Xenopus tropicalis: one gene and its partners. The protein of the gene in region 1 interacts with the protein of each later gene in a pairwise test. Links are inferred from orthologs where the notes say so. Each region holds a gene or a part of one and is shown in the gene's direction. Other genes may lie near its edges. The genes, in order: tfip11, c1orf109, TRAF3-interacting JNK-activating modulator, poll, cep57, exosc5 and sh3glb1.

Region 1 (4,040 bases):
CAAGTCCCTAGCCCCTAGTAACCAACCCCCCTAGCCCCTAGTAACCAAACCCCCTAGCCCCTAGTAACCAAGCACCTAGCCCCTAGCATTCCAATCCTGCCCGTCTGATTATTACACAACCCCAAGCTTGCAGAACCCCACTTGCTTGCTTATTAAACTAGCCCCTAGTAACCAAGCCCCCAGTAACCAAGCCCCTAGTAACCAAGCCCCTAGTAACCAAACCCCCTAGCCCCTAGTAACCAAGCACCTAGCCCCTAGCATTCCAATCCTGCCCGTCTGATTATTACACAACCCCAAGCTTGCAGAACCCCACTTGCTTGCTTATTAAATTAGCCCCTAGTAACCAAGCCCCCAGTAACCAAGCCCCTAGTAACCAAACCCCCTAGCCCCTAGTAACCAAGCACCTAGCCCCTAGCATTCCAATCCTGCCCGTCTGATTATTACACAACCCCAAGCTTGCAGAACCCCACTTGCTTGCTTATTAAACTAGCCCCTAGTAACCAAGCCCCTAGTAACCAAGCCCCTAGTAACCAAGCCCCTAGCAACCAAGCCCCTAGTAACCAAGCCCCCTAGCCCCTAGTAACCAAGCCCCTAGCATTCCAATCCTGCCCGTCTGATTATTACACAACCCCAAGCTTGCAGAACCCCACTTGCTTGCTTATTTAACTAGCCCCTAGTAACCAAGCCCCTAGTAACCAAGCCCCTAGCCCCTAGTAACCAAGCACCTAGCCCCTAGCATTCCAATCCTGCCCGTCTGATTATTACACAACCCCAAGCTTACGGAACCCCACTTGCTTGCTTATTAAACTAGCCCCTAGTAACCAAGCCCCTAGCAACCAAGCCCCCAGTAACCAAGCCCCTAGCCCCTAGTAACCAAGCCCCTAGCCCCTAGTAACCAAGCCCCTAGCCCCTAGTAACCAAACCCCCTAGCCCCTAGTAACCAAGCACCTAGCATTCCAATCCTGCCCGTCTGATTATTACACAACCCCAAGCTTGCAGAACCCCACTTGCTTGCATATTAAACTAGCCCCTAGCAACCAAGCCCCTAGCAACCAAGCCCCTAGCAACCAAGCCCCTAGCCCGTAGCCCCTATTCCAATCCTGCCAGTCTGATTCTGACACAACCCCACGCTTGTAGAACCCTACTTCCGGTGTCGCGTCCCGTACGCGTCATTGTGTAGGCGTGACCGGAAGTGTGCCGCGTACATTACTGCAGCCTGTGGAACCCGGGGCTCAGGTACCTGGAACTGGAATATCGGTAACTATGACGCCTCATGGAAGCTTATTTTAGCATTTAGCCCCACTTGTTTGTGTTTGGTATAACTAAGCCGGGGCTGCTCAGTGAATACGGGGTGTCTGGTTCCCGCACAGGAGCGGAATGGCCATGTGTACCTGTCTGGTGTCAATGGCTGCGCTATTAGTTTCTTCCCCATAACTGTTTGAGGGGATTATGGGAGTTGTAGTTTAAATCCTGACCTGTGATTATTGTCCCTTACTAAATGCTGTTACATTGATTGCTGCATTGTATCTGGGTAATGCATCCAGTTCCATAGCATGCCATTTACTCACTCCATGCCCCATTCCTCTCCCATCACTCACTTCAGCATGGCCCTCTTTAACCCCTTATGGGTCACTGTAAGTAGTAGTACTTCTCTGGTTGGCTGTGGCTACTGAGCCATTCTGGCCAATCAGGAGGGGGAACGCAGCCGACTGGACATATACTGTTCAAGGTTATTTCTATCACTTGTCTTTTTTTTTTTTTACCTAAATCCAAGGAAAAGGACATGGAATGTTTTGGGGGGCCCCAAGGCACAACCCTGTATAGCCATAAAGGGGTTGGGCACCTTTGAGTTATCTTTTAGTTTGATGTAGAGAGTGATATTCTGAGACAATTTGCAATTGGTCTTCATTTTTTTATTTGTAGTGTTTTAGTTATTTTATTTTCAGTTCAGAAGTTCTCCAGTTTGGAGTTTCACCAGCTATTTGGTTGCTAGGGCCAAGTTACTTTAGCAGCCAGGGAGTGGTTTGGACAAGAGACTGGTATATGAATAGGAGAAGGCCTTAATAGAAAATTAAAGTTACAAAAAGTAACAATAAAACTGTAGCCTCACAGAGCGATAGATTTCTGGCTGCCAGGGTCACTGACCCCCATTTAAGGGCTCTGGCACACAGGGAGATTAGTCGCCCGCAACAAAACTCCCTGTTCGCGGGCGACTAATCTCCCCGAGTTGCCGCCAGTTGCCATCCCACCGGCGACAATGTAAGTCGCCGGTGGGATGGCACACGCAGCGGCGCGATTTCGGGAAATCACTGAAGTTGCCTCGCAAGGCTTTTTCGTCGATTTCCCGAAATCGTGCTGCCGCGTGTGCCATCCCACCGGTGACTCGGGGAGATTAGTCGCCCGCGAACAGGGAGTTTTGTCGCGGGCGACTAATCTCCCCGTGTGCCAGAGCCCTAAAAAGTTGGAAGGAGAAGGCAAATATTTAATAAACTATAACAAATAAATAATGCAGACCAATTGAAAAGTTGCTTAGAATTGGCCATTCTATAAAACACAACAACTTATATATTGTTAAATATTGTTTCCCTCTCTCAGGCACCATGTCTATGTCGCACCTTTATGGCAAAGATGAGGACAGCGATGGAGTGGAAATGGAGAACTTTGAGATCACGGACTGGGACCTACAGAATGAGTTTAACCCCAACCGCAGAAAGCATTTCCAAACAAAAGAGGAGGCGACCTATGGGATGTGGGCAGAGCGGGACTCTGATGATGAGAGGCCAAGCTTTGGGGGGAAAAGGTTGGTGGGTCTTTAGATTGGTAGGAGGGGTCACTCAATAGTAATAGTCACCTTCTTGCGTGCAGTTAATGATACAGCACCACCCAATACGGACACCTTTCATTTTATTTCTTCATAGGTCTCGAGACTACTCGGCCCCTGTCAATTTTATCAGCGCTGGGATCCGTAAGCCTGCTGCAGAAGAAAAATCTGATAGCGATTCCGACAGTGAAACGCAAGCAAGGAGGGAAACTTTCCCAAAGGATTTTGAGGCAAAGAAGCTAAGGACGGTAGGATGAGTCTAAGGAGTGTTTGTACTTCCCAATAGTAATAGTCTGACAGGGTTAAAAGGGGTGTTCTTCTTTAAACCAACTTTTGGTTGCTATTCTAAAACAATTTGCAGTTGGTCTTCTTTTTTTTTTTATTATTATTTAGCTTTATATTCAGCACTTTTCCAGTTTGGAATTCTAACAGTTATATGGTTGCTATGAACCAACATAACCTAGCAACCAGTCAGTGGTTCAAATGAGAGACTGGAATAATAGCAGGAGTGGGTCTGAATAGAAAGATAAGTTTAAAAAAAAAAAAAAAAAAGTAATAACAGCGTAATTGTAGCCTCACAGAGCAATAGTTTCTTGCTGCCGGGGTCAGTGACCCTCTTTAAAAAAAATGAGGACCAATTGAAAAGTTGCTACGAACTTGCTCTTCTATAACCTACTTAAAATTAACTTAAGGACGAACCATCCATTTATAAGAGAGAGAACTATTATTGTAAGAAAGACACACTATATTCATTGTTTCATTCCAAAGCTTCAGTCAGTTTCAGTTTGTGTATTTTACAGGGTGGTAATTTCAAACCATCACAGAGGACATTTGCTGGAGGAATAAAGTCAAACACAGATTTTGGTTCTTGGGAGCGGCATACCAAGGGAATCGGCCAGAAACTTCTTCAGAAGATGGGTTATGTGCAAGGAAGAGGCCTGGGAAAGAATGCTCAAGGTATAACTGGGTTCTTTGGCCAGTGAGGTTAAATTAGAAGCTCTACTGAGGCAGGGGCTATTCTCAGATGGAAACGTGCAATAGTAGCTTTTATTATAATCTGACTGTAAGTATGTGAGAAAAATGTATTTTATAGCCAGGATATTCTTTAAAGGATAAGAAAACTTCAAAATAAGTTGATGAACATTTGCAATTTACATTCATAATTATTTTTTTAATGCCAAGATATTAAGGGATAAAGTATTGTTAAAGAGTTACTGAC
Region 2 (4,344 bases), on another chromosome or scaffold:
TCAAATACAAACTGGTTGGGCACACTGCATTAAATGTTCACGAATAAAAAAAAAGTGTGTACATACATACATACATACATACATACATACATACATACACACACACACACACACACACACACACACACAATTTTGAATTGTTTTTTTATGGTATTACCTGCTTCGCCTGCGCCCTTGGTGCCGGTGAGGGGATCCCCCATCGCTGCTTCGAGGGCTTGGAGTTCGCCGGGTGCGGTGCTGCCTGACGGGGCTTATCCTTTCCTGTTTTATAGTTACTGTCTCCGGGCTGTGTGGTCTCCGCTTCCTGCCCCTATCATCCTCCTCATTCATGCTGGCACTATAATCTTTTCACAAACACACACCGAGAAGAACCAAAATGTTAAGCAATCTACCTTCTCTATAAACCGGAAACCACCGAACGTTACCTCCGATCCGGAAATAATTCCCTCTTATTTAAATATTTTTGGGATTTGTAGTTTCTAGCGATTTATCATAAAATATCCTTTATAGCAGCGCCGACAAATCAAAATTTACGTTAGCTACTCTCATGCACAATTATGGTATTAAACCAACTTAAACTGCAATTGTTACCAAGGAAAATAAGGAATAAACAATTGTCGCGCCAGTCACCTCGATAGCAATAACAAGACTTTAAACTACAATTCCCTTCATGCCGTGCGGCTGTAGGTTTCCATTTCCGGCTTTAAAAAAAAAGGTGAATGTATTCACGTTGCAGTTGTGCTAATGATAGCGGGCAAGCTAAGCAGCTTTTCCAGGTCTGGTGAAATACGTGCGTTTGAATTGGGAAGTTGACGCTGTTTTTATTTTACCTTTTCTGTTCTATATGACATTATATATGACATTGTTTGTAATGCTGTTTAAGGACACGAATCAATGTAATACGGATAGCCTTACTTTTTTCTTAGTAAATAATTGAAAGCAATACTGAAATATATCACCTTTTATATACATTTGAGCCGATGATTCGCCCTTATAAAAATAATCTTAGATTTATTAATGTTATTCTGGTAGTGTTATGTAGAACATCTTCCACTGTGGTAACTGCTAATATAGGGGTGGATATACTTATTTTTTCCTGTAATCACTGTTCCAAGCATGCAACAATGCCTCTGTTCCTTACAACTCCTGGCAGTAACTACTGCTAGGTCTAGGTCCAACTTTTCCAGCAAACAAATACCAGCTGTACCATATCTATAGATTTTTTTTTACCAACTATGTATAAAAAATAAAAGAAAAAATGCAGCACAGGTAGCCATAGGTTGTTTAACCTTTAAAGCAGGGGTCGGGAACCTTTTTGGCTGAGGGAGCCATAAACACCACATATTTTAAAATGTAATTCCCTATAATATGTTTGGCCGCGGGGCAAGGTTGGGTGGGTCCCAAGGATGCCGGTTGCTGGATGCAATGCGGAGGAGGGCGTGGCCTGTGCTCGGCGTATAGAACATGTCTTCTATCTGCCGAGCGCAGGCCACACCCCCTGTTATTTTTTTTTTTATTAAAGATTTGGCAGCGAGCCAGATGCAGCCATCAAAAGAGCCACATCTGGCTCCCGAGCCATAGGTTCCCTACCCCTGCTTTAAAATAAAACAAAAAAAACTGATACCCATAACACTGGAAGTACTAGAAAGCCACTCCCATAATAGGTAGAACTAATTAAGCAGTTTTTTTTGTTAAAGTTAACAATACTTTATGGCTTAGATTTTATCGGGTGCCACATATTACTGATCATTGCCAACATAAAGCGATTTTAAAACAATATAAATTATGCATGTGTGCCAAAATCTTCGAGTCAGAGCAAATCTGATAACAAATGTTTGCCTAATTGCTGCTATTATAGATTTGCAAGCAATTTTAGCATTGGTGTCCACTCCCTCTGAAGTCATTTGGCCCTTGGGTTGTCATGATATGACACATCAAAACGCACGGATAAATGCCAGCGGGTATGTACCCATAATCTGGCCTATTGTTTTTAAAATAAAGGGGACATATTGTGTGAAAAACCATATTGTGCCAATGATTTGTACTCATCTAAATATAAAAGAAATGTGCTTTAAAAAGTAGTGTTTGGGGCTGATTTATTGATTTTATTTATCTGTTCCACTTCTGGCTACCTCCTTTCCCAGGTTGTTCAGGGGAGGCCAGCGGCACTCAGCACACTATATAGGAACCAATCAGCAGCTAGACTGACCTGATAGGGAACTGAAGCCTGTCTTTGCCTGTGTGACTGCAGGGCTGTGATTGGCTCTCCCCCTTTTACTGTGCTTCTGGCAGGGACTATTAGAACATGCCCACCTCTCATCTGAAACACGGACAGGGACCTGAGAGGATCTATAGGGAATTCCAAAAAGGGACAGTTCTTACAGATAGTTTTAATTTTTATACCAAAGTAAAACCAGCCCCATATATTATTCATAATTGTCTACAAGATTAAAGTTTATGTAATTTATGTCTCCTTTAAGAAATGTTTGCTGCAACTTAGTTTAAACATATGCCTACTTCTCTAAGACATTTCAGCATACATTTTACTATACTGAGTTAAATATTACTAGGCTAATGTGAGTATATCTTTTTCAAGGGTTTAAATACTTAGAAAGGTGTTGTGTGTTTTTGCATTCATAACGCTGTATAACTGATTTGTTGGCTTGAGTTTTATTTTAAGTGCAAAGCATCAGATTTATGACATGTATTTCACCAGTTTTATCGTTTTATAGGATGTCTGAGAAACCAGCCTTTGTTTCCGTGCAGCAATCGCTGAGAAAGTCCTTTGATGCCATAGAACCACTGCATGAAGAATGGAATAATACACTTTTAGAGTGTAACCCACACCTAACTTCTTTAAGTAATCTAGCAGAACAGCTACAGGCCTGCCAGAGAGTACTGTTTAAGAAAACCCCCCTGAGCAGCTTTATTAACCTGCAAGAACATCTTCGTTTTAAACTACAAGCAGCTATGGAGTTTAATTTGGAGATCTTAAATCAGAAGTTGTAAGTCCAATGTGTTGTTGGTTCAACCCTTCCGGTGCTGGTATCACCATGCAAATTTTTAGATAAGATACAAGCATCACTTTACATGTACATCAGTTCTGAAAACACTGAATTACTTGCTTGTCATACTTAATGTAGATATCTTTCCATTGACTGACACAGCTTCAGTGTGTATTGTGCTACACTGAGCGGATATCAGCACGAATAGGCATACTTGAGTGTTTCTGCGCCAATATCCGCTATGTGTAGCTCCACACAGGCAGACACTGCCTGTTAATGGTTCTACAGGAAGGAGCGCATGACAGTGGATCCACTTTCCTCTGCCTGGGTAAAAACTGCAGGTGAAAGAAAGAGTATCCGCTCCATGTTCCCTTACCTTAAATCTACTCTGCTGAGTAGATATAGCAGTTGTTAGTTCTAAAGTGATACACTGCTAAAAGAATGGATTTTGGACAATACATTCTCATAGGATGCACATTTTTTTGTACTCGGCAGGTTTTGCCTTTATAAATATTCTTATATTTTTAGCAGCAATTTTCTTCTTCCTCAATAAGAAGAGATATGAAATGGCGTTGATACTCACACTTGCATACAAGTTACAGGTTAATTTATTTTGTATGGAAGGTTTATATCCCCACAATATAACCTCAAGCTGGTTGGTTGTATTTCAGTGTGAAGTACATGATTGTCAGTTGTGTAATCACTACCTTTTGGTTCCCACAAAATCTAACCAAATCAGTAATAGGTTTAATATTTTCCTACAATAAATTATTACATTGTGACTACTAATTGCACAGTACTAGTTTTAATCACTTTATACCTTTTACTCTCAGCAGGATATTGCAAAATAATCACATACCCACAGCAAGTTAAAACATGAAAGCCAAAGGTCTAGGTTTTTGGATGTGTGTAATCTGTACAGACTTGTTTATGGCCTAATACAAAATGCTATTTACATTGTTGGGCATTATCACAGGCAGTAAATATTGTAGGTTGCCAAACTGGGCATCAGATTTTCACTTGAAAAAAAGTATTTCCTGAATACAAGGATTATCTACATTTTGTAACTCTTCAATTGCTAAATTTTACAGGTCTACGCTGCAGAGAATAAGGGACTCTGTAAGTCAGGTGGTTGGATCTGTCCTCTACATGTATGAGACAAGCATTGAAAAAATTGGTCTTGAAGCAATTTTGGAGCGTTCTTCTCTCTGTCCTTCCATAGCTGACATGTTAGAATGGCTACAAGATATAGAGAAACATTACAGAAACCAGTATCCTTTAAAGTAGAACTACTAACAAGTCCTGCCTTGAGACACAAGTAGGAATCCCTGTTCCCATA
Region 3 (3,596 bases), on another chromosome or scaffold:
GTTGTAAACGGCGGAAAAACCAATCCGATTTTTTCGCGACGGCAACGAAAAAGTTGCGGAACATACGAAAAAGTCGCAAAAATAGCGATCATTGCGAAAAACACATTCGGACCGTTCGTGGATTAGTAAATCTCCCCCATGAGTCAGCTTCCTGCTGATAGGCTCAGATCCACATTCCTAAGGGGGGGGGAGTGAGTTCTTAGTATTCTTGAGGGGGGGGGAGCAGGAGAGAGCAGAGAGCTGCGTGTCTCTGGCACATGAATTACAGACACAACAATAGTAATGTAATGTAGTAATGTTGTGGATGAATAATTTTTTTAATGTTTCGTGGTTGCCTGAATACACTGCAGTCCTTCCAAAAATTCAGTGAGAATATATACTAAACTCAGGGGGTAATGCTTCTAAAAACACTGGAAAAACTCATAAATATAGGAGCCTGGGGGGAAATGTTCTCTCTGTTTTCCTTTTGGTTGCGTGCATACAAATATCTGTTGTTCTAGTTTATATGTTCATAGTAGACTTTGCATTTACATGTATAATTTGTGAAATGTTTTATTTTTCAGGAGTTGTTGGAACTTTCTGAATACCTTGTGGTAAGCATGATAAAGTTTAGCAATTATATTGTGCAATTTCTAATCTCTTTTTTTTCTAGGGATGCACCAAATCCATTATTTTGGGATCTGGTTAAACCACAGATCCTTTGTGAAAGATTTGGGCAAATGCTGAACCGAATTTGAATCCTAATTTGCATATCCAAATTAGGCCATGGAGGGGTCAGATAGAACTGCCCGCAAAGTGTGCGGTGAAAACTTTTTCGCTTCCGTGTTTGTGACAAAAAGTCTAGAGAATTTAAGGATTCAGAATCAGCCCAGCAAGAATCTGAATCCAAATCCTGCTAAAAAAGATGAATCTTGGCCGAATCCCTAAATGAATCCTGGATTTGGTGCATCCCTGTTTTTTTTTTAAATTCACATATTAAAGGGCAGACACAATCAGAAGAGGGCCCTATGTAGAAAAGTATAAAGCCCCCCTGACAGCAGTGCTTAGTACAGTACCACTCATCCTAGTATGGCCACAGTAGTCCTCCGGATGTCTCTATCATCAACCCATTCAAAATTCTGCCCACCTGCAAGATCTGCCTTTCTATGTGTAAAGCATTAGGGAGATGACAGGGAGTGGTAGGAAGGCACATTGACACCACCCTCTCTCTGGGGTGGATAGGGAGCATCCCTCAGGCAAACGGAAACAAAAATTATTTGTGAGAGTTGCTGGGGCACTGTTCAAGTGTATGAGGTATATGTGAGCCCTTACAGCCAACCGCAAGGACTAAGTATCACCTTTGCATAAAAAATGACAGTGTTATTTATCATCAGCAGCATTTATAATTTTTGTGTGACTTAGAGAAATTTCACTAAATAACCATATAAAGACACAAGGCAACAGGCTTCTTTAATACAGGTTACTGACCATGTAAATGAGGAATTTAGAAGTTAACTTAGAGCCTCATAACCTCTACAGGAGCACTCAGCTTAGGCCTCATGCATTTATACGTCCACAGAAAATACATTATTTTACATTAAGGGGGTACATTATATCTGATATTAATGTCACTTATTTTTCTGACTTCTGCAGGAAGCTCTCCATAGAGAGAGGAAACTGAAAAAGAAATTGTGCTCCTTGCAGGAGTTGTTTCGAACACTCTTACAGACATCTGAAAAGTCATTCAAGGTAGATTCTGTTTGATAAACCATGGGAATTCTGAAACAGGGTTATTCTGATTTGTTGGTTAAAAAGAACTATGGTTGCTTGTTTATTTACTGCTTTGGTGCCCTAAAAAATATGGTCATATTGGTCAAAATGAAGAATAAATATTTGTGGCCAGAGATAAACTTTTCCTTGGGAACCACCAGTTTAGATGTTTCCTGCTGTGTGACACTCTGACTTGAATGCTGTATAATCTCTGTAATACGCTGTGTAATGCCACAAGTACAGGTATGGAAACTATTGTCCAGAATGCTTGGGACCTAGGGTGTACCGGATGGAGAAAGATCTTTCCATAATTTGGATTTTCATGCTTAATTTGGATCTCTGTACTATAAGTCTATTAAAAAAATATTTTGACATTAAATAAACCCAATAAGGACTTCTTATATCTTAATTGGGATCATGTACAAGGTTCTGTTTTATTATTACAGAGAAAAAGGAAATCATTTTGAAAACCTTTATTTGATTATAATGGACGCTGTGGGATATGGCCTTTCTGTTATTCAGATCTTTCTGGATAAAGGGTTTTCAGATAATTTATCCTATACCTCTGTTATGTGCAGCATCGCCTGCTTTAAGTAGCACTGCCTACAGCAGGGTGGCACATGGGTGTCCCATGGTACAGCATGCCATCATTGGATCTCCATTTCTAGACTGGGCTGTTTCTGCTTTTTTCATTAGAAATGGTTGTGCACCCACAGTGCCCCTGAAGTATATTTATTGTTTCAAAGATTTAAGTTCAGCTTCATATGAATTTAAAAAGATGAATATAAACTTTTTGGAATGGATGATTTAGATTAAGATTTTAATGGCACTGTTAATTTATTATTTTCAATTTTATTTAAAGCGCATTCCTATATATTACTTTAAATTACAAAATAGTGCTGCATAACAAAAACACATAAAAATGCATACAAAGGTCCAGTTTCAAATCACTGAAAGAAAAATGGATCCAACAGTAGAATACCATGGTGTAGAATGCCATGGTGCTTTGCTTCCTGAATGTTGAAATAAGTTGAAAATGTTGAAATAGTAGTGTGAGTCCTAATAGCTGAGTCCTAATAGAATTCATCATAGCATGTGTGAATGTGATAGAGACCTTAGATTGTATGCTTCACTCTGGGAAGTACTGATGTGAATGATGTATATCTGTAAGTGCTGTGGAACATGCATGTGCTATATCAATAAAGATAAAAGTATTCATAGTGCAAGTGGTTCTTGCTCGCTTCTCATTGTTACTGGGGTGCATTTCACAAAAGTGGAGATAGTATTTTTGGAGTAAAATTAGAAGGAATACACAAAAGGGGTACAATTTAAGACAAAATAACAGTAGAGATAGATTTGTTGAATTTTCCACCATATTCATACACCTCTATAAGCCAAATTGCACACACAATTTGGCTTATAGACTATGACATAGAAGGAACTGGTTAGAAACTTTAAAAATAATGAATTCAAAATAATTAGTAAGAAGGGAAATTCTGACGGTAAGATAACTAGTTTTAGCAACTCTTCATAAGCTTTGATGTGGTTTGCTGATGCTTCCTCTATATGCATGCAGGAAAAAAAGCATTTCTTATTGCTTACAGACAGGAAATGTATCTTCGTTTCAAGAGAACTACAACTACAGAGCAGGTGTTCCCAACACAGGTTTCTTTTAGTGGGTTATTTTGCAGTAAAACGCTAGAAAATCCAGAACTATAATATATATGGGCAATGAGTTGTAGTCTATGTATCTTAAAAATAGAGAAGATCTTTGTTGCAGAGTGAAGAGAGAATGCACACATTCATTTAATCAATTTATTTTTGGTGAAGCATGTGATGCATTTAAT
Region 4 (4,033 bases), on another chromosome or scaffold:
ATGCAGGCACACAGAGAAGCACAAGAAAGCAGATCCGCTTCTCTCAGCCTGGCCGAAAAAACGCAGGATTGAGAGAAGTGGGTATGCGCTTTGTGTGACCTCGCCCTAAACTAAAAAAAAAAAATGAGACATTAAGCCCCTAGGTAAGAATAGAAGGATTTGATTGGGGGGAGATCAAATATGAGACTTGTTTGTTATATGCTTGTTATTATGCATGGGATTAGTTGTCCTTTATTGAACTAAACCTGCAGGTCCTGTTGTAAATCATCTTTGGTTATGGGACTATTAACTGACAGAACCTAACAATTTGGTCTAAAACCTTATCCCCAGCCAGTGTCCTGTGAGCAACATGGGTGTTACTCCCAGTGGCCTCAAAGCAGGGGCTTATTTTTGAATTATTGACTTGGAGGCAAGTTTTGGTTGCATAAAAACCCAGTGTAAAGCCACACAGAGCCTTCTCTTGGCTGCCAGCCCACATAGGGGCTACCAAATAGCCAATCACAGCCCTCCTGAATTTCTGCTTATGTATCCTCAGTTATCAGTTCAGCAGTTCCCCTGCGAGTTTGTTCAGCTTTACCAGGCTACTGGCTGGACATAGTTTACATGTTTATGGCCTAAGATTTTAAACTCCACCAGGGCAGTGTATTGAATATAATCTGTGTAGGCGCTATACAAATAAAGCATGGGATTTGGTTATTGAGGAGGTTGAATGAATGAATATGGTTAACGTTAGCTCTATATCTTTCTCACAGCATTAAAGCCCAAGCCGATGTGACTGCGTTCCCACAAGAACACTCACCATCCTGTAAAATGCACGTTTTCTGCGCAGCCTTCAGACTCTCCAGCCAGCTTGGAAGCGCCATCTTGGAACCTGTCACACGCGGGGCCGAGTTACTATAGCAACCCAAAGCTTGCCGGCCTCTTAGGCAAACCGACCTGAGTTGCCATAGTAACGCAGCGGACTGCCTTGTAACGTGTACACAAAACCTATCAACATACCTATCCCAAAATATAAAACGTCTCTACAAAGCTACTGCTGTAACGGGATATTATATATTCTCTTATTATCGGGCTCATTAAGCAATGGACTCCGGTGACCACTTCCGAGTCATCCGGATACGGAAGTGACCTAATTAAATGTCCGTGTATGTTTATAGATGTGGTGTTGAACTCTAGTAAGTGAATGTGAGGGGGGGACAAAGCGATAAGTTACTGTTTGTTTCTCTGTTTGGGGCGCTGTGTGTGTATTTTCCATGTAACTATTTGGGCGCAGTGATCTATAGCAGTGATATATAGAATCGTGGAACTACATCTCCCTCCGAGATGGCTGGAGAGCTGCTGGGGAAAGAAAATAACACATAATCACACATTAAACCGTACTGTTACTTAGGGTTTGGGTTCCATAAGAGAAAGTATTGATTACCTTCCTTAGTGTAGCTGTTTGTATAGCAGAACATTAGGCAATCACAATGGTCTGTTATTAAGTGTACTTATATTATTTGCTACTGTTTATTGCTTGGGGTGGGGTGGGGTGGGGTAGGGTAGGGTGGGGGAATAATGCCAATTTTACTAGAAGGACGAAAAGATTGATTTAGCAGCCCTGGGTTCATTTTGTGGTAACCCTAGCCACTGGTTCCTATATATAAGCCCACTGACTCTGAGGGCAATGGGGAGATTCCCTTTGGTGGAAAAAGCTCCATTGACTTTATTGGTCAATGGGAGGTCAAGAAATGCCTCCCATTGGGGTTAACAGTAATCACCAGTCCAGACGATACCATAAAAAAAAGTAGAGGGCAATTGTGAGTTTTACTGCCTCCCCACTGCCAGTCTCTCTGTGCCATTGCCAGTAAGCTGGCCATATGTGGGTTGATATTGTAAGCCAACTCTGCCTCTCTTGGCAGTCTGCAGCCTAATGGCCGATGCACAGGGCAAAAGCGATGATCTCCCTACCTGTATCTACTCAGGGTTTGGCCAGGTAATGATATTTCTGGCAGGAAACTCCCATCAGGCAGATGCTACATAGAAACACAGTCCTTTCTTAATGACTCTGCCCGGGTTGATAGTTTTGGCTGGAAATCCCATCATCAGGTAACCCCAGTCTGCGAGTTAAAGCCACATATAGGGGCTGATTTACTAATCCACGAATCCGAATGAGAAAAATTCGGATTGGAAAACTAACATTTTGCGACTTTTTCGTATTTTTTGTGATTTTTTTCGTAAATTGTCGCGACTTTTTCGTAACCGTTATGACTTGCGCGAATTGTCGCGACTTTATTATAGCCATTACAAATTTCGTGAATTGTCGCGTCTTTTTCATAGCCATTATGACTTTTGTGAATTGTCGCAACTTTTTCATAGCCATTATGACTTTCGTGAATTGTCGTGACTTTTTCATAGCCATTATGACTTTCGTGAATTGTCGCGACTTTTTCATAGCCATTATGACTTTCGTGAATTGTCGCGACTTTTTCATAGCCATTATGACTTTAGTGAATTGTCGTGACTTTTTCATAGCCTTTACGACTTTTGCGAATTGTCGCAACTTTTTCGTATTGAGCGATCGAAAAAGTCGCAAAATACAGATCATTACGAAAAAAACACATTCAGACGCTTTTCGGACGTTCGTGGATTAGTAAATCAGCCCCATAGTGTACAGACTGGGAACCCGCAACACAAATTTAATATAACACATGTTTCAGAGTAAATTTACATGCAGATTGCCTGGTTGCACTATAAGTAGTTCAGTCTGCTGCTGTAATTATTAGAAAACCATACAGGATTTCTATTCCATATCCACTTTTAAAAGAAGAGTTGGCAGTTCTTGCTTTAGTGAATGTAAATTCAGATGATAAAATGTTAGTTGGATCTGGTAAAATTGTAGGTTACACCCAACTCTTCATATGAATGACAGGTAATAAATATAATAATGAATATATAACCAAAATAATGTTTTTGTTTTACCATAGGAATTGAAGCTACTTGACTGCACTCTTGCCAAATTGCCCTTAATTTTGCTTAAACGCTAGTCTGAAGGAGACACTGAGGAGACACTAACTTTGCAAGAGGTTTTCCTTGTAAGTACTACTCATACAGTATTGCTTTTAAAAAAGAACTAAACCCTAAAAATGAATATGGCCAGACATGCCATATTTTATATAAAGAACGTATTGAACCAGCCTAAATGTTCAACATCTCTGTAGTAGTAATAATCCAGTCCTTTAAAGTTGTCACAGGGGGTGGCCATACTGGACACTTCTGTTAGAAGTGTCTGCGACACTGCACATGCTCAGTGCACTCTGGGCAGCTGTTGAGAAGCTAAGCTTAGGGGTCGTCCAAAATTAATGGGCTGATGGTTTCAGAGTTTCAGATCATCTGTGTTAATTACTAATCAGCCTTATATTGTGACATTTATATCATATATATATATATATAGTATATACAGTATAATGTCAATCGGTCCCTAAGCTCAGGTAGGTGACAGCAGCACAGAGCATGTGCAGGGAATCAGCAGAAGATTGGGGGCTACTGGGGCATCTTCAGTGGCACATATCTTCTTTGCTAAAGGGCTGTGGGTGCCTTGGGCTGGTACAGAAGCAAAAAACATAATGTACAACATTTCTAGCCTACCTCTTTAGTTAAGCTTTAGTTTTCCTTTAATAAAACAAGACTTTATGATATTTTTCATATCCAAAATGAACTGTTACTATTCCAGGGGGCATATTGGTCTCTTTGGGCTCATTGACAAGCAGGAAAATGCTAAACTGAGATTTAATTGTGTGGGAATTTCAGGGGCAAATGATAGGTTGCTTTTACTAAATGAAATAGCAGTTTCTTCCTCCTACTAGCAGTATGTGTTCTTTTGTGTAATGGGAGAAAATGGATTAACTTTTAGCATGCTGTGGTTTTTATAGTATTTTAATAATTTGCCTCCCTTTTTATACCTTTTTCCAGCTATTGGATGAGGATCAGTTACTAAAAAACTATTTCCCTGTGAAGCTACATTTTTATTATTATTTGTACTTTTTAGTACTTA
Region 5 (4,316 bases), on another chromosome or scaffold:
GAAAATCAGAGTCTGGCAAGCGAAGGATCGGCAACAGAAAGTCGTAAGGTAAATTAGGCAGGTTTAGTTTCCCAGGCAAGGCCACAGACACATAGCACAGGAGGAGGCGTTTGATAGCTTTAAATACCCCCCACGCATGCGCAGAACCGGCACCGCGTCGCGGACGTGCACGCTTTGTGCGCTTTGACGCACGCGCATCCGGACGCGTGTGCGCAACGTCCCGCAGAACATGGGACGCGCGCGAGACCGGGCTGCACGGGTGAGTACCCTGACACCCCGGTATTGCGGTATCTAAAAAATGAATATAGTTTAAAAAAAAAAAAAAAAAAACACCGGTATTCGGTATTAAACGGTATATCGCCCAGCCCTAGGCTGAGCAGCAGTCAGTAGTAATTCATATATATTTCCAGCATCCCCTCAAACTACTGAAGGGAAGAAAGATGGATTCAGTTAGGGAAGAGGGGGTTCCTAGCAATGAATGGAGGTCTGGGGTATCCAACTAGCACCCCTTCCTACACTACTCAAAGGCTACATATGGGCCCCTGAGCTAATGGCTTCCCTGTGATCACACTAGGCCCATGAGATTCTGGAACCCAATAGAAATGCCCTTGTTACCCAAGGCTGCTGGGCCCCAGTGATGGCGGGACACCGAAGGAAGTTCCCTAAGGCGGCCCTGGGCACTGACCTTGCACAGCTGCTGCCCCTGGGAGAGCTCTTCGAACGGGTATCGCTGGTGACACTTGGTGCAGGCGTACAGCGCTGAGGCCATACTGGGAACACTGAAGGGCACGGACACACACTTCCGGCAACACCGGCTTTGGCAATAGGGTTCTACGTTCCTACGGGGCGGCCTGTGCTTCCTGCTCCGTCTCCTTCACCAGCCGCGCCACCGCCTCTGACTTATCGCTGGGGTTGCGCGGAGCTCGGTACGAACCACCGAAACGTATTCGTCTCTTATTATTCCCCTCTTTGCTCTCGGCTCGACGTTACTCGGCCTATTCCCTCTTTACAAATATAAAAACGGGAGAAAAATAACCGGATGTGTGCAAATTCAGCGGCGTCACAAAGGGAAGGGCCGGTCGAGCCAATCCGAGAGAGTCACTGGGAGGCGGGAAAAACGCGTTTGAATTCATCCAGCCAATGGCACGCTGATGGAAGGTCCGCTCCACCAATCACGTCGCGCGTTTTGTTCGCTGGCGAGTGACGTCGTCCTCCGCGGCCATTGGCCAAACCCAGACACAGATGTTGCCCTAGATGCGACTGAGAAGATGCTGTTGCGTAAACTCCCAGCATGCACCTGGTCACAGAATCGGAGGTTCTGGCTCACTGTGAAACCTCTTCAAATAACTTCGGATAATATAGATCACATGAAACTATTGCACAAACTGCGCCATATGAATAAAACATATATACTAAACAAACGCGCCAAATTCCCTACTCTCTTGTATTGCGGTGATTATAATCCGCACGCTGCGTATGATTGGTCCGTTGAGTTGGGAACCCGCACCAATAGTGTAAGCGCCTCCCACAAACTTGCTGGCCCCGCCTAGTAGCTGGAAAGATGTCGGGGCAAGTGTAGGTGTGTGAGAGTAATAGAAACGTAGCAATGGGGCTGACTGTGTAACCCTGCAGAGTCGGTGGCTTCCTGTACCGGAGAAATATGGCGGCTTCTGCTGCGTATCCAAGGAAAACGGTGAGAGGAAGGGCTGGGGGATGGTTGGCTTGACAGTAATGCCATGTAGATTCTATACACAACTGCCTGGCTGTTTATATTCTCTGCACTGGGGGTTCAGACTCTTGGCAGGTATCAGCTGGCTGGCAGACATGGAGGAGAACTGATACATACAACTTTATGTCACAGGTTGTTGAGGAGCCAATCAGGAACCAATCTATTGGATCTAGTGATCTCTAATGACCCAGAACGTATAGCAAATGTGCAAGTGGTTGAACCCCTGGGTAATAGTGACCATAATGTTTGAGTAATTTGATGTTTGGTGCAGGAAACTAATTTACACGGGGGCAACAAAGACAATGAATTTTAGAAAAGCAAATTTTAGCTCCTTAAGGAACAGTAACACCAAAAAATGAAAGAGCTTTAAAGTAATAAAAATATAATGCACTGTTGCCCTGCACTGGTAAAACTGGTGTGTTTGCTACAGTAACACTACTATAGTTTATATAATAAGCTGCTGTGTAGCCATGGGGGCAGCCAATCAAGCTGGAAAAAAGGCACAGGTTACATAGCAGATAACAGATAAGCTCTGTAGAATACAATAGTGTTTTATCTGTTATCTGCTATGTGCCTGTGCCTTTTCTCCTTTGAATGGCTGCCCCCATGGCTACATAGCAGCTTATTTATATAAATTATAGTAGGGTTTCTGTAGCAAACACCCCAGCTGTACCAGTGCAGGAATGGCTGCCCCCGGGGCTACATAGCAGCTTATTTATATAAATTATAGTAGACTTTCTGAAGTAAACACACAACTTTTACCAGTGCAGGGCAGCAGCACATTATATTTTAGTTACTTTTATACACTTTCATTTTTTGGTGTTACTGTTCCTTTAAAGGAACAGTAACACCAAAATATTCAAATGTATCAAAGAAATTCCAATATAATGTACTGCTGCCCTGCACTGGTACAGCTGGGGTGTTTGCTACAGAAACCCTACTATAATTTATATAAATAAGCTGCTGTGTAGCCATGGGGGCAGCCATTCAAAGGAGAAAAGGCACATAGCCGATAACCGATAAAACACTATTGTATTCTACAGAGCTTATCTGTTATCTGCTATGTAACCTGTGCCTTTTCTCCTTTTTTCCAGCTTGAATGGCTGCCCCCAGGGCTACACAGCAGCTTATTATATAAACTATAGTAGCATTACTGTAGCAAACACACAACTTTTACCAGTGAAGGGCAACAGTACATTATATTTCTTTTACTTTAAAACACTTTAATTTTTTTGTGTTACTGTTCCTTTAAGGGCAGCGCTTCAGGGCATAGATTGGGGCATTATGTTTTCTGATAAAAACACAGAGCAGAAATGGTTGTCATTTAAAATTTATCTTAAATCATTACTGTTCTCAATTTATTCCATTAACAAGTGAATGTAGAAGTGTTAAGAATCACCCTATGTGGCTTAACTCTGAGGTAAAGAGGTTAATAGGGAAAAAAGGAAAGCTTTTAAGAAATATAAAATGATGAAATCGTATGAAACCAAGTTTCGTACAATATTTGGTGCGTGTATGGCGACTTGGCAAGGCAACCGATATCACAAAAGGCTGCGGATATCGGTCGTCTCGCGGATCGACCAGGTTAAAAGATTTTAATCGGGCGCTATTGAAGGTGTCTGAGCAAAATCTACCTTCAGGGCTGAATCGGCAGAAGGAAGTAGAATTCCTATTGTTTCTACCTCCTTATCTGACAATTCAGCCCTGAACGTCTGTGGAGGGTGGGAACGATCTTTGAAATTGCTACGTGTATGGCCAGCTTAAGTCAGAGGGGACAGTAGCTGCATTAAATGAATATAAACGCTATAACAAGTGTTGTAAAACTGCAACCTGAAAGGCAAAGATAGAAAATGAGGAGCGCATCACGGCCGAGGCCAAAACTAACCCCAAAAAGTTTAAGTATATTAATAGTAAAAAGAGGCAGGTCGAAAGTATGGCCCCATTGACTTATAGTAACAACATTGTTACAGCGGATATAGAGAAGGCAAATTAGAGAGGCTTCAGATGGAATTTTTTGCCTTCCTCTGGATCAACTAGCAGTTAGGCAGGCTATATATAGGTATTAAGGTTGAACTTTTTGGACGTATGTCTTTTTTTAACCTAACTTACTATGTTACTATGAAATACATTTTTCAATTGCAGTGACACTTACGAAGTAAACATTGCCCTCTCCTGAACTGCATGGAGTAAAGATTGGGAAGGGATACTGTATGGCCAGGAGACAGGCAGGGCTGCACAATATCATAGGCAGTAGGTGTATTAAACAATGATCCTGACTAAAGTCACAAGGGCTTTTCCGTGGCAGAGTCCAGTCTTTGTCTTACCTCTTGTGTTCTGGGCACATACAATACTAACTGTTCTTTGTGTTTATTTTTGTTTTATAGCTGCACAATCCTTCAGTGGGGAATTCTAAAGGACAATCTAGAATTGATTCACAGTCAGCGAGCTCATATGTGGCCTTCCCCAGTGGAAAACCATTCATTAACTCAGAACTGCTCCATTCCCCCGGCAAACCAGTGCTGGCCTATCCTGAAAGCAACAGCAGAGGTGAAGTACTAATCTAGCAGTGTTATAACCTATACTCTTA
Region 6 (4,380 bases), on another chromosome or scaffold:
GCCTTTATTTCAAGTGTCATCCTTCCGGTTTACATATTTCTGTCCTTTAACCCTTTCAATGCTGTCCAAAACAGAATCTATGGCACATTAGCTGTTAAATCAGACAAATACTAGGCATATCCTAATTAAACTGTAGTAATAGTTATTTAATATGCAAGAATAAGTAATAATTAAAACCATCTAGTTTTGCTCCAGACCACGGGGCTCTTCAAGAGGTTATGTTCCCCTACAGGCCAAAGTGCTCCTCTGATTTCTGTCCATGACATTATCATTGTATTATAATCCAGCTCCAAAATGTATGGTATAGTGCTGGGGGAGGGGGTTCCATATTTTTTTTTCCCACCAGAGCATCACACATCTTTAATGCGTAACACCTTGGTCTTGCCCGTTAAATCACATAACTAAAAGCACAATTTAGGCTACAAGTATCTGCAAATAATTATGTTTTCTAAAAACATTTTACACTGCACCATGAAAAAAAAGTTAGAACACCTTGAAAATATATATTCTTTCCCGTATGCAAAAACACAGAGAATCCAATACAGTGTAAGCAATAACTGTGGTACAGTACAGAACTAGGAATATTACTAGAATGTTGCTTCTATAATACTCCAACCTATAATATTCCAGTCCCAGAACTGCTGATCAAAAGCACAGGCAATTTTATACAAATACTTATATATAGATATGTACAGGGCTGTGTATACAAGTAGCACTATACAAATATATACCTGGAAATATGTGTGTGCATTTTGGGAGTATGTATACAAACATATTCTTCCTATTTATATAGCTGAAACAATGTTGTCACCAGCTGGTTTATGGACAGACAATCAACCAACCTGTTATTTAAGGCTAAAGCATATAAATGTATATACTATATAAGCTGTAAATTCAAATGTAAATTTGACTCCTTACAAATCTAGTCAGCAATATCACATATTTTTACATAATTCTGAACTGTAACTATAACCCACGTTTATTATAGCATATAACTTTTAAAACACATCTCCCAATTCAAACAGTTCTTGTAGTTCCCATGTATATACGTCAGACAGGCATACTAGTATTTTAGATGCGATGTACCTTATGGTACAAGATGTGTATACTTCTCAGTATACAAGACCAGGGTCTCGCATTTAGAAATAAAACATTTAAACTCCCCTTCCATCTGATTATCGTCTGTTTCACTCACACCAACGCGACCCCTGTACTCCTCTCACCTGTCTCCCACCGGCGCCTCTCCACCCTCCTGCCACAGTCCGGACCCTTAGAAGTGCCCTCAGCGCCGCCATCTTGCTTCGGAATGCTATCCCACTGCCTACATTTCTCTTAGGACCCCTATTCAACAGCTTGTCAAAAATAACCTCTGAAGTGAGAAATTGCGAGAATTGCGTATTTCCTATTATTCCCTGGGAAAAAAGGCTTTGGCATTGTTGTGTATAATTATACAGGCAAGTGTGGCGGTTGCCAGACCCCAAGGACCCCGGAAGTGTTTGCACATGTGGAAAGAAGGTTCTGATGGAGGCTGTAGGTTCTGTATTGCGGGAATACGGGTGTGAGCAGAGTTTGCTGAGCCGTCCCGATGGATCCGCTACGTTTCTTCAGGGTTAGTTTTGGCGCGCCTATAATTCCTCAAATCTTATGTGGAATACGAGGATATCAAGGGATACATATTGAAGGGAAGCGTAAAATGTTTTGCGGCTAAATCATTGGATGGAAATTGAATTGTAAATCCAGTGGCCGTTATTCTCATTTAATGGAACAGCTCTTCCATGTTGTCATAATGCAGAGGACAGCAATGGGGAATGTATGTGTTGTATTTGTCTAAAGTAGGTGGTTGCTGAACTGCAAACTTGTAAATTAAGCAATTTTCCAATATAGGATAATAAAAAATGTTCATGATTTTAAAATTGATACAATTGTTACTGAGAAAAAAGTTTCAGCCTGTTTATTGCAACTCTCTCCTGGTTTCCCCAGCTACTCTTAAAGGAACAGTAACATCAAAAAATGAAAGTGTTTTAAAGTAATTAAAATATAATGTGCTGTTGCTCTGCAAAAAACTGGTGTTTTTGCTACAGAAAAGCTACAATATAAATAAGCTGCTGTGTAGCCACGGGGGCAGCCATTCAAGCTGGAAAAAAGGAGAAAAGGCACAGGTTACGTAGCCGATAACTAGTAGATAAGCCCCATATAATGGGGGTTTATCTGTTATCTGTTAAGTAACCTGTGCCTTTTCTCCTTTGAATGGCTGCCCCCATAGCTACACAGCAGCTAACTTATATAAACTATAGTAGTCTTTCTGAGGCAAACACACCAGTTGTAGCAATATAGGGCAACAGTACATTATATTGTAATTACTTTTATACACTTTCATTTTTTGGTGTTACTGTTCCTTTAACTACTCCAAATCTCACAATGCCTTGCTTGTTCTGCCATTATCAGCTGCAAAGTAAAATAAAAGAATAGTACAAGGCAAATTTGTAGGAACTGAGGTGGTGGTGAGGAGAGACATTTTTTATTTAATTATTTCTATAGTCTGGTAGCAAATAATAGCAAAGGCAGACAAACTGCTCTTGGAATTTTATTTAGAAATTACTTAAAAAAAAACATTTAACATGTTTAATTCCTGCATATTATAACACTGCTTAAAATTACAATTCATTTGTACAAATACATATATATTTATTTAGGAAAAGGTCCTTTAAAATATTGGACACCAAATTGAATTGGGGACAGACTGACCATACTCTTACTCTAGAGCTATAAACGGTCATGTACAGCACTGTGATTATGATACCTGTGTGTACGCATTTAAATAAACCAAAATATAGGGAATATACACCATATTAAAAAATATAAGGGTATTGGAAGTCTCCTTAGAGTGCCATGACCATATACAGGCACAGAACCAAAGGCCAAGTGGTTTAATACAGGTCATTGAACTCTGAGGTGGCTTCTAATATCCACATATTTTACAACAGAGGAGGTTTTAGTCAGTAAATTATACAAATTACATCACTGATCAATGTTGGTAAAGAAAATCTTGTGTATTATAGCTATAGGGGCTTGTAGTTTTGGGCTCCTAGGCTCTGCACCATATTCAATTTTAGAATAAAGATTAGAAATGAGTTTCAACAAAAAATGTGAGCTATCCTTACAAAGTAGCAATCCAGTACCATGTTTAGGTGGTTTATAGCATTTTGACCAGTTAATAATTTTTAATGCAGTATAATTTTTAATGCAGTTCTCCAGTCACACAAAAATAGATTAATTCGGAAAAAAGAAACTAAAGGGTGTAAGCACATTGACCTAGATATCAAGCAGGTATATCATGGTGGCTTAGAATTCACACCAAACTCTCTGCAACTCTGTTCTACCAAGCTGCATTGATCAAGACCTATCACTTTATCCACCTTGTGTACAGTTTTACTCACCACCTTTTTATACCTATCACCATTTGAAAACTCGAAAGAGGGACACAATTAACTGCCATGCTCCTCCCGCCATTTGAAAACTACAAAGAGGGACACAGTTAACTGCCATGGTATGACTGCACCCACATTTTACCACACCCAAAATACCATGATCATAAAATTAAAACTAAAACCAAAAAAAAAAATCCAGACATGCCAGTAAAATCACTGCATAAATAACCAGAGAAGCCTCCATTAACTAAAGACATGACCATAAGATCACTGCATAAAATGGGTAGATTGAATGCATTGCCTCACTTAAGTTGCACAAGCAGCAAATCACAAACTTGTTCTTTTCTAGTACCCCCATGGTGCTTGTCATTTTGCCTTTGCCTGAAAAGGCAATTTTTCCATTTCCACAGTGGAACTTACGGCCATCTGTGATTATGATTGGCTGTGTTTGAGCCCCTGCTGAGATTGCTTTAAAGAAGAAAGAAAGGTAAAAACTCATAATTCAGGTTCGTTTATATATCACACAGGCAGTAATCTGGCTACTGTAGTTTTATGTGACTAAAGCTGACATACATGCACCGATGCACCTAGTTTCATACGATATTCACTGTGTGTATGGTGGATCGACGAGGTGAACATCACAAAAGCTTCGGATATGTCGCCTCGTGGAACGGGCGGGACAGAAGACTTTTATACGAGCAAAATCTGTGTTTAGGGCTTAATTGTCAGGTGGAGGTAGAATCCTTATTGTTTCTACCTCCATATCTGACAATTCAACTCTGAATGCCAGTGGAGGGTGGGAACGATCTTTCCTGAGACAAATGGTTGCAGGAAAGATTGTAATTGTAAGGTGTATGGCCACCTTAAGGCTAACTGTTCAACTGATTTCCATGTTGCTTTCCTGTAGGCGACACATCTGTAATGGCTGGAGTATATGGCCCTGCAGAGATCA
Region 7 (3,596 bases), about 91 Mb from region 1:
AACCGCCTACCTTTTACCCCGGGCTGGTGCCGCTGTCAGGAGAAAACAGCACCAGCCCGGGGTAGCTGCTGGCGCTTCCTCCTTCCGGCTTCGCTGCGCGCGCATGCGCAGTATAAGTGAAAAGCCGAACTTAAACATTTAAGTCGGCTTTTTCGCTCTACTGTGCATGCCCGGCCACCGGCAGTTTAGGAAGTGGAAGGCGGAAGGAGGAAGTGCTGCGCTCCAGGTACCCCGGGCTGGTGCTATTTTCTCCTAACAGGGGCACCAGCCCGGGGTACAAGGTAAGCGGTTAAAGTCACTTGGGGGTGCCTAACATTTTGGCACCCCCAAGTGACTTTGCCTTTCCTTCCCCTTTAAGTTACTTACTGCAAGCTGTCATATAACTTAGTGTTAGGGAAGCCACAGTCATTCCAAGCAGAGGAGCAGTAAATGTTTATAAACCAGTCAGATAAAGGTTATTTGATCCTACTTTGTCTTGAGGGACAGAAGCTATAATCCTGGGATTATGTCTAAAATGCTTGTCATAAAACAGGATAAGGCTTCTGTTCTTTGTCAGAAGGAAATAGCAAAAGCCAGGTGAGTACCAGGAGACAGATTCCTCCATGCAAGAATATTATTTTGTTTTTAGGTAAATCTAATTGTTTTTTTTTATTCTGGCTACAGTATTCTTCTTGGCTGCCACAGTTGTATTTTGGATACAGTTGCAGTGATTTTGTCTTTGTTACAAAGTCAAGTGTTGAGCAGGTGAAACTTTATTTCAGTATTCTCACTGGAAAAATTCACAAAGACAGAATGGCATGGGTTCTTGCTCACATATATAAACTGTATATACTGATACCTGTACTAAACTAACTTTAGATCTTAAAACCACGTTAGCCTTGGATATTATACTTGTTCAAGAATTCATTTAAACCACTCTTAAGGGCATTAATAGAATCTGCCTTTACAACATCACCCGACAGGTCATTCCACAGCCTCACTGCCCTCAGCGCAAAGAACCACCTACAATGCTTTAACTGAAAGTTTGTTCCTCTAGTGTAAAGGTGTGACCTCTTGAATTAAAACGGCAGGCATAGGCGCCGTCTGATTGGGGGCTGCATTAAGTTGCCGATGTTGTCCCCGATCCGGCGGAAAATCAAACCCGCCCTTATCGGGATCTTGCCAATTTTTGGACAGATGTCAGTCAGGTGCCCATACAAGGGAAGATAATCTGCCGAGTTGGCCTAAAGGACTTGAATCGGCATCTGAAATCAGCCACCTTTAGGGTTACCTTACCAGGGGTATGTTTTACCTTTGTGAAATTATTTTAAATGTGATTAATTGCGTCTGCTTGGGTGTCAGAGTAGAATATTTTCTGTTACACAGAAACTTACTTGTATGTATAACTTTATTTATAAAGCGCCACAAGGGTACGCAGTGCTGTACAATCTTACAGTATACACAATTACACACAGGGAGGACAAGTGTTGTAATAAATAAATACAATAAATATATATATATAAATACACAGGGAATAAGTGTCATGTGGTATGAGACACAGTAGGAAAGAGGTCCCTGCCCCATAGAGCTTACAATCTAAGTGACTTGCATTTTAAGTAGCAGCTGGAAGTCACTGAATGGTAAGCAATGAAAAAGGCATACACATTACTAACGTGCACAACCTGATTACTTAGAACAGCTGCACTAAAGAAATCCAAGTGCCTTTTATATATTTATTTCTACTGCCATTTAACCAATGAAATGTATTTTATTGTTCTACTTGTGAAGATGTCCAATGTTTTTGTTTTTTGTTTGTTTTTTTTTCTTCCACTGAACAGTTTACAGAAGAAAAATTTGGCCAGGCAGAGAAGACTGAACTTGATGCTCACCTGGAAAATCTTCTCAGCAAAGCAGAATGCACAAAGGTTTGGACTGAGAAGATCATGAAGCAGACAGAGGTGCTGTTGCAACCAAATCCAAGTAAGATTACCCCCCACATCAGAATGTCCCCCTAAGCAGAATGGCTTACTTGTAAAAGTAGAAGAAAGGAAATGTCAAGTCCATTTACAAATATGTAAAATTAAAACTCAATACTCAATAACAAATAGAATACATTTTTTTTTATATGTTGTACATCCTGGGACTCATTCATGTCTCCCTTTGCATTTTCATGCATTAGTATGCCACAGCATTTTAAAGTGTTAGCTGCACTTATTCTATACATTTTTTAAGGGTTTTTAGCTGTCTGTATGATGTCGCACCGAGGACAAGCCAGCTAATGGATGCTGGAAATATGGGAGGAGCCAACACAGAGGCCTGGGCAGGAAGCAAACATAATAACATTTAAACCAAATTATTTTAAAGAAAAACCTCAAAAAACTATAAGAAAAAATGAAGTAAATTTAAAGAGCAAGGAAACTCCCCCAGTAGAACTTGAGTAAAAGATCGTCCCTTAGCGAAATGCTATATTAGTTACTTACAAAACCCCCTATGTTTCCTGCAGCAGTCCTGAGAAGTTTGCTTTTCATCTCTGCAGTAGTTCTACTGGGATAATGTTTTCTCTTTAGAACGCTTGATGAGTGCATATGGGCTATTTAAAATGCATCCTAACACATGGCCAATTGTTTGTTTATCTTAGGGTTTCCTTGTCCTTTGAAGTAAATTTGAACAGTGGGTGTGTGCTGTATTTAGAAAGACATAACGGACAGTTATTGCCTAAAATAGTTTACCAAAAAGATGTCAGACAGTTGTTACTAAAACAAGGGTTAAAGCTGAGATATAGATAAAAAGATAATTTATTTCCCTTTCCGTGTCAAACAGAAAATCCCTTTACCAGAAACAATCAAGGGCTGTAGCATTGTTGGAAAGGGAAGTCATTGCAGAAGTCAATGACCATAAAGTGTCTGGCCTTGGAAGATGCCATACAAGGAATAACAGGAACAGTCTCTTAAAGGGGATCTGTATGTTTTGGCCAAAGACTTAACGGAGTTAATTTATTATACAGTATATGAGATATCAAATAATCCAATCAGAATTAATCATATATCATTAAGTATATTCCTTTTTTATCTTTATACATAATTTTATCATGTTTTTTTTGTGTTTCCTCCACAGAATAAGCAAAGAATGTCTGTAATATATATAGACATATAAGTGAATAGACACTGCTATGAACTTTATTCCCACGATTGTAACCTAGCATGTATGATTTAACTATATGGTCTTTTCTAAGCACAATTAAGCTGGCACATTTTACTACTTGGTGACCTGAATAATAACGTTATTTTCATTTCACCTGTACCTGGAGATGTCACCTGTAATTGTGTTCCACAACCTATAGTTGGTCGTAAACCTTAAGATCCACTCATTTGGTGAGTTTGCAAAATGAGCAAATATCGCCACTTTGTGGTGCCTGATAGTGGGCTGATCTGATTGTTTGGCTTAGTGCCAAATGATAGCACTATAGTCACCTGTATAGTCACAGGACTTCGTCAACTAGCTGAAATGGTCATCTCCCCAGTGGGATTTTTAAACCTGTCCAATAAATATCTGGTTGATTTTGGCCAGACACCTACTGGATAGGACACATACATGGGCAGATAAGCTCGAAAGGGGCA

The links.
Region 2: the proteins of tfip11 (region 1) and c1orf109 interact in binary tests that used the Homo sapiens proteins (3 or more experiments, as listed by UniProt). The two-hybrid records come from large-scale screens. The link is inferred for Xenopus tropicalis from reciprocal best matches to the Homo sapiens genes TFIP11 and AIRIM.
Region 3: the proteins of tfip11 (region 1) and TRAF3-interacting JNK-activating modulator interact in binary tests that used the Homo sapiens proteins (3 or more experiments, as listed by UniProt). The two-hybrid records come from large-scale screens. The link is inferred for Xenopus tropicalis from reciprocal best matches to the Homo sapiens genes TFIP11 and TRAF3IP3.
Region 4: the proteins of tfip11 (region 1) and poll interact in binary tests that used the Homo sapiens proteins (3 or more experiments, as listed by UniProt). The two-hybrid records come from large-scale screens. The link is inferred for Xenopus tropicalis from reciprocal best matches to the Homo sapiens genes TFIP11 and POLL.
Region 5: the proteins of tfip11 (region 1) and cep57 interact in binary tests that used the Homo sapiens proteins (3 or more experiments, as listed by UniProt). The two-hybrid records come from large-scale screens. The link is inferred for Xenopus tropicalis from reciprocal best matches to the Homo sapiens genes TFIP11 and CEP57.
Region 6: the proteins of tfip11 (region 1) and exosc5 interact in binary tests that used the Homo sapiens proteins (3 or more experiments, as listed by UniProt). The link is inferred for Xenopus tropicalis from reciprocal best matches to the Homo sapiens genes TFIP11 and EXOSC5.
Region 7: the proteins of tfip11 (region 1) and sh3glb1 interact in binary tests that used the Homo sapiens proteins (3 or more experiments, as listed by UniProt). The two-hybrid records come from large-scale screens. The link is inferred for Xenopus tropicalis from reciprocal best matches to the Homo sapiens genes TFIP11 and SH3GLB1.

The regions. Positions count from the first base shown.
Region 1 is NC_030680.2:15,108,060-15,112,099, forward strand, and holds the start of tfip11 (tuftelin-interacting protein 11), read left to right. Parts: upstream 1-1,145; 5' UTR 1,146-1,257; intron 1,258-1,431; exon of another isoform or gene 1,432-1,729; intron 1,730-2,595; 5' UTR 2,596-2,600; coding exon 2,601-2,800; intron 2,801-2,918; coding exon 2,919-3,069; intron 3,070-3,621; coding exon 3,622-3,778; intron 3,779-4,040. UniProt on the Homo sapiens protein: Involved in pre-mRNA splicing, specifically in spliceosome disassembly during late-stage splicing events. Intron turnover seems to proceed through reactions in two lariat-intron associated complexes termed Intron Large (IL) and Intron Small (IS).
Region 2 is NC_030678.2:86,153,859-86,158,202, forward strand, and holds the start of c1orf109 (uncharacterized protein C1orf109 homolog), read left to right. Parts: upstream 1-1,543; 5' UTR 1,544-1,785; coding exon 1,786-1,961; intron 1,962-2,732; coding exon 2,733-3,005; intron 3,006-4,096; coding exon 4,097-4,276; coding exon of another isoform or gene 4,277-4,292; exon of another isoform or gene 4,293-4,323; intron 4,324-4,344. UniProt on the Homo sapiens protein: Part of the 55LCC heterohexameric ATPase complex which is chromatin-associated and promotes replisome proteostasis to maintain replication fork progression and genome stability.
Region 3 is NC_030678.2:50,640,925-50,644,520, reverse strand, and holds part of TRAF3-interacting JNK-activating modulator, read left to right. Parts: intron 1-563; coding exon 564-593; intron 594-1,632; coding exon 1,633-1,728; intron 1,729-3,596. UniProt on the Homo sapiens protein: Adapter protein that plays essential roles in both innate and adaptive immunity. Plays a crucial role in the regulation of thymocyte development.
Region 4 is NC_030683.2:30,778,611-30,782,643, reverse strand, and holds the start of poll (DNA polymerase lambda), read left to right. Parts: upstream 1-1,145; 5' UTR 1,146-1,175; intron 1,176-1,580; exon of another isoform or gene 1,581-1,975; intron 1,976-2,966; 5' UTR 2,967-3,074; intron 3,075-4,033. Other genes in the region: protein DPCD, read right to left, coding at 800-863.
Region 5 is NC_030678.2:164,688,879-164,693,194, forward strand, and holds the start of cep57 (centrosomal protein of 57 kDa), read left to right. Parts: upstream 1-1,431; 5' UTR 1,432-1,660; coding exon 1,661-1,693; intron 1,694-4,113; coding exon 4,114-4,276; intron 4,277-4,316. Other genes in the region: protein FAM76B, read right to left, coding at 686-769. UniProt on the Homo sapiens protein: Centrosomal protein which may be required for microtubule attachment to centrosomes. May act by forming ring-like structures around microtubules. Mediates nuclear translocation and mitogenic activity of the internalized growth factor FGF2, but that of FGF1.
Region 6 is NC_030684.2:79,502,119-79,506,498, reverse strand, and holds the start of exosc5 (exosome complex component RRP46), read left to right. Parts: upstream 1-1,491; 5' UTR 1,492-1,521; coding exon 1,522-1,609; intron 1,610-4,335; coding exon 4,336-4,380. Other genes in the region: bckdha (2-oxoisovalerate dehydrogenase subunit alpha, mitochondrial), read right to left, coding at 1,224-1,295. UniProt on the Homo sapiens protein: Non-catalytic component of the RNA exosome complex which has 3'->5' exoribonuclease activity and participates in a multitude of cellular RNA processing and degradation events.
Region 7 is NC_030680.2:106,593,756-106,597,351, reverse strand, and holds part of sh3glb1 (endophilin-B1), read left to right. Parts: intron 1-1,817; coding exon 1,818-1,959; intron 1,960-3,596. UniProt on the Homo sapiens protein: May be required for normal outer mitochondrial membrane dynamics. Required for coatomer-mediated retrograde transport in certain cells. May recruit other proteins to membranes with high curvature. May promote membrane fusion.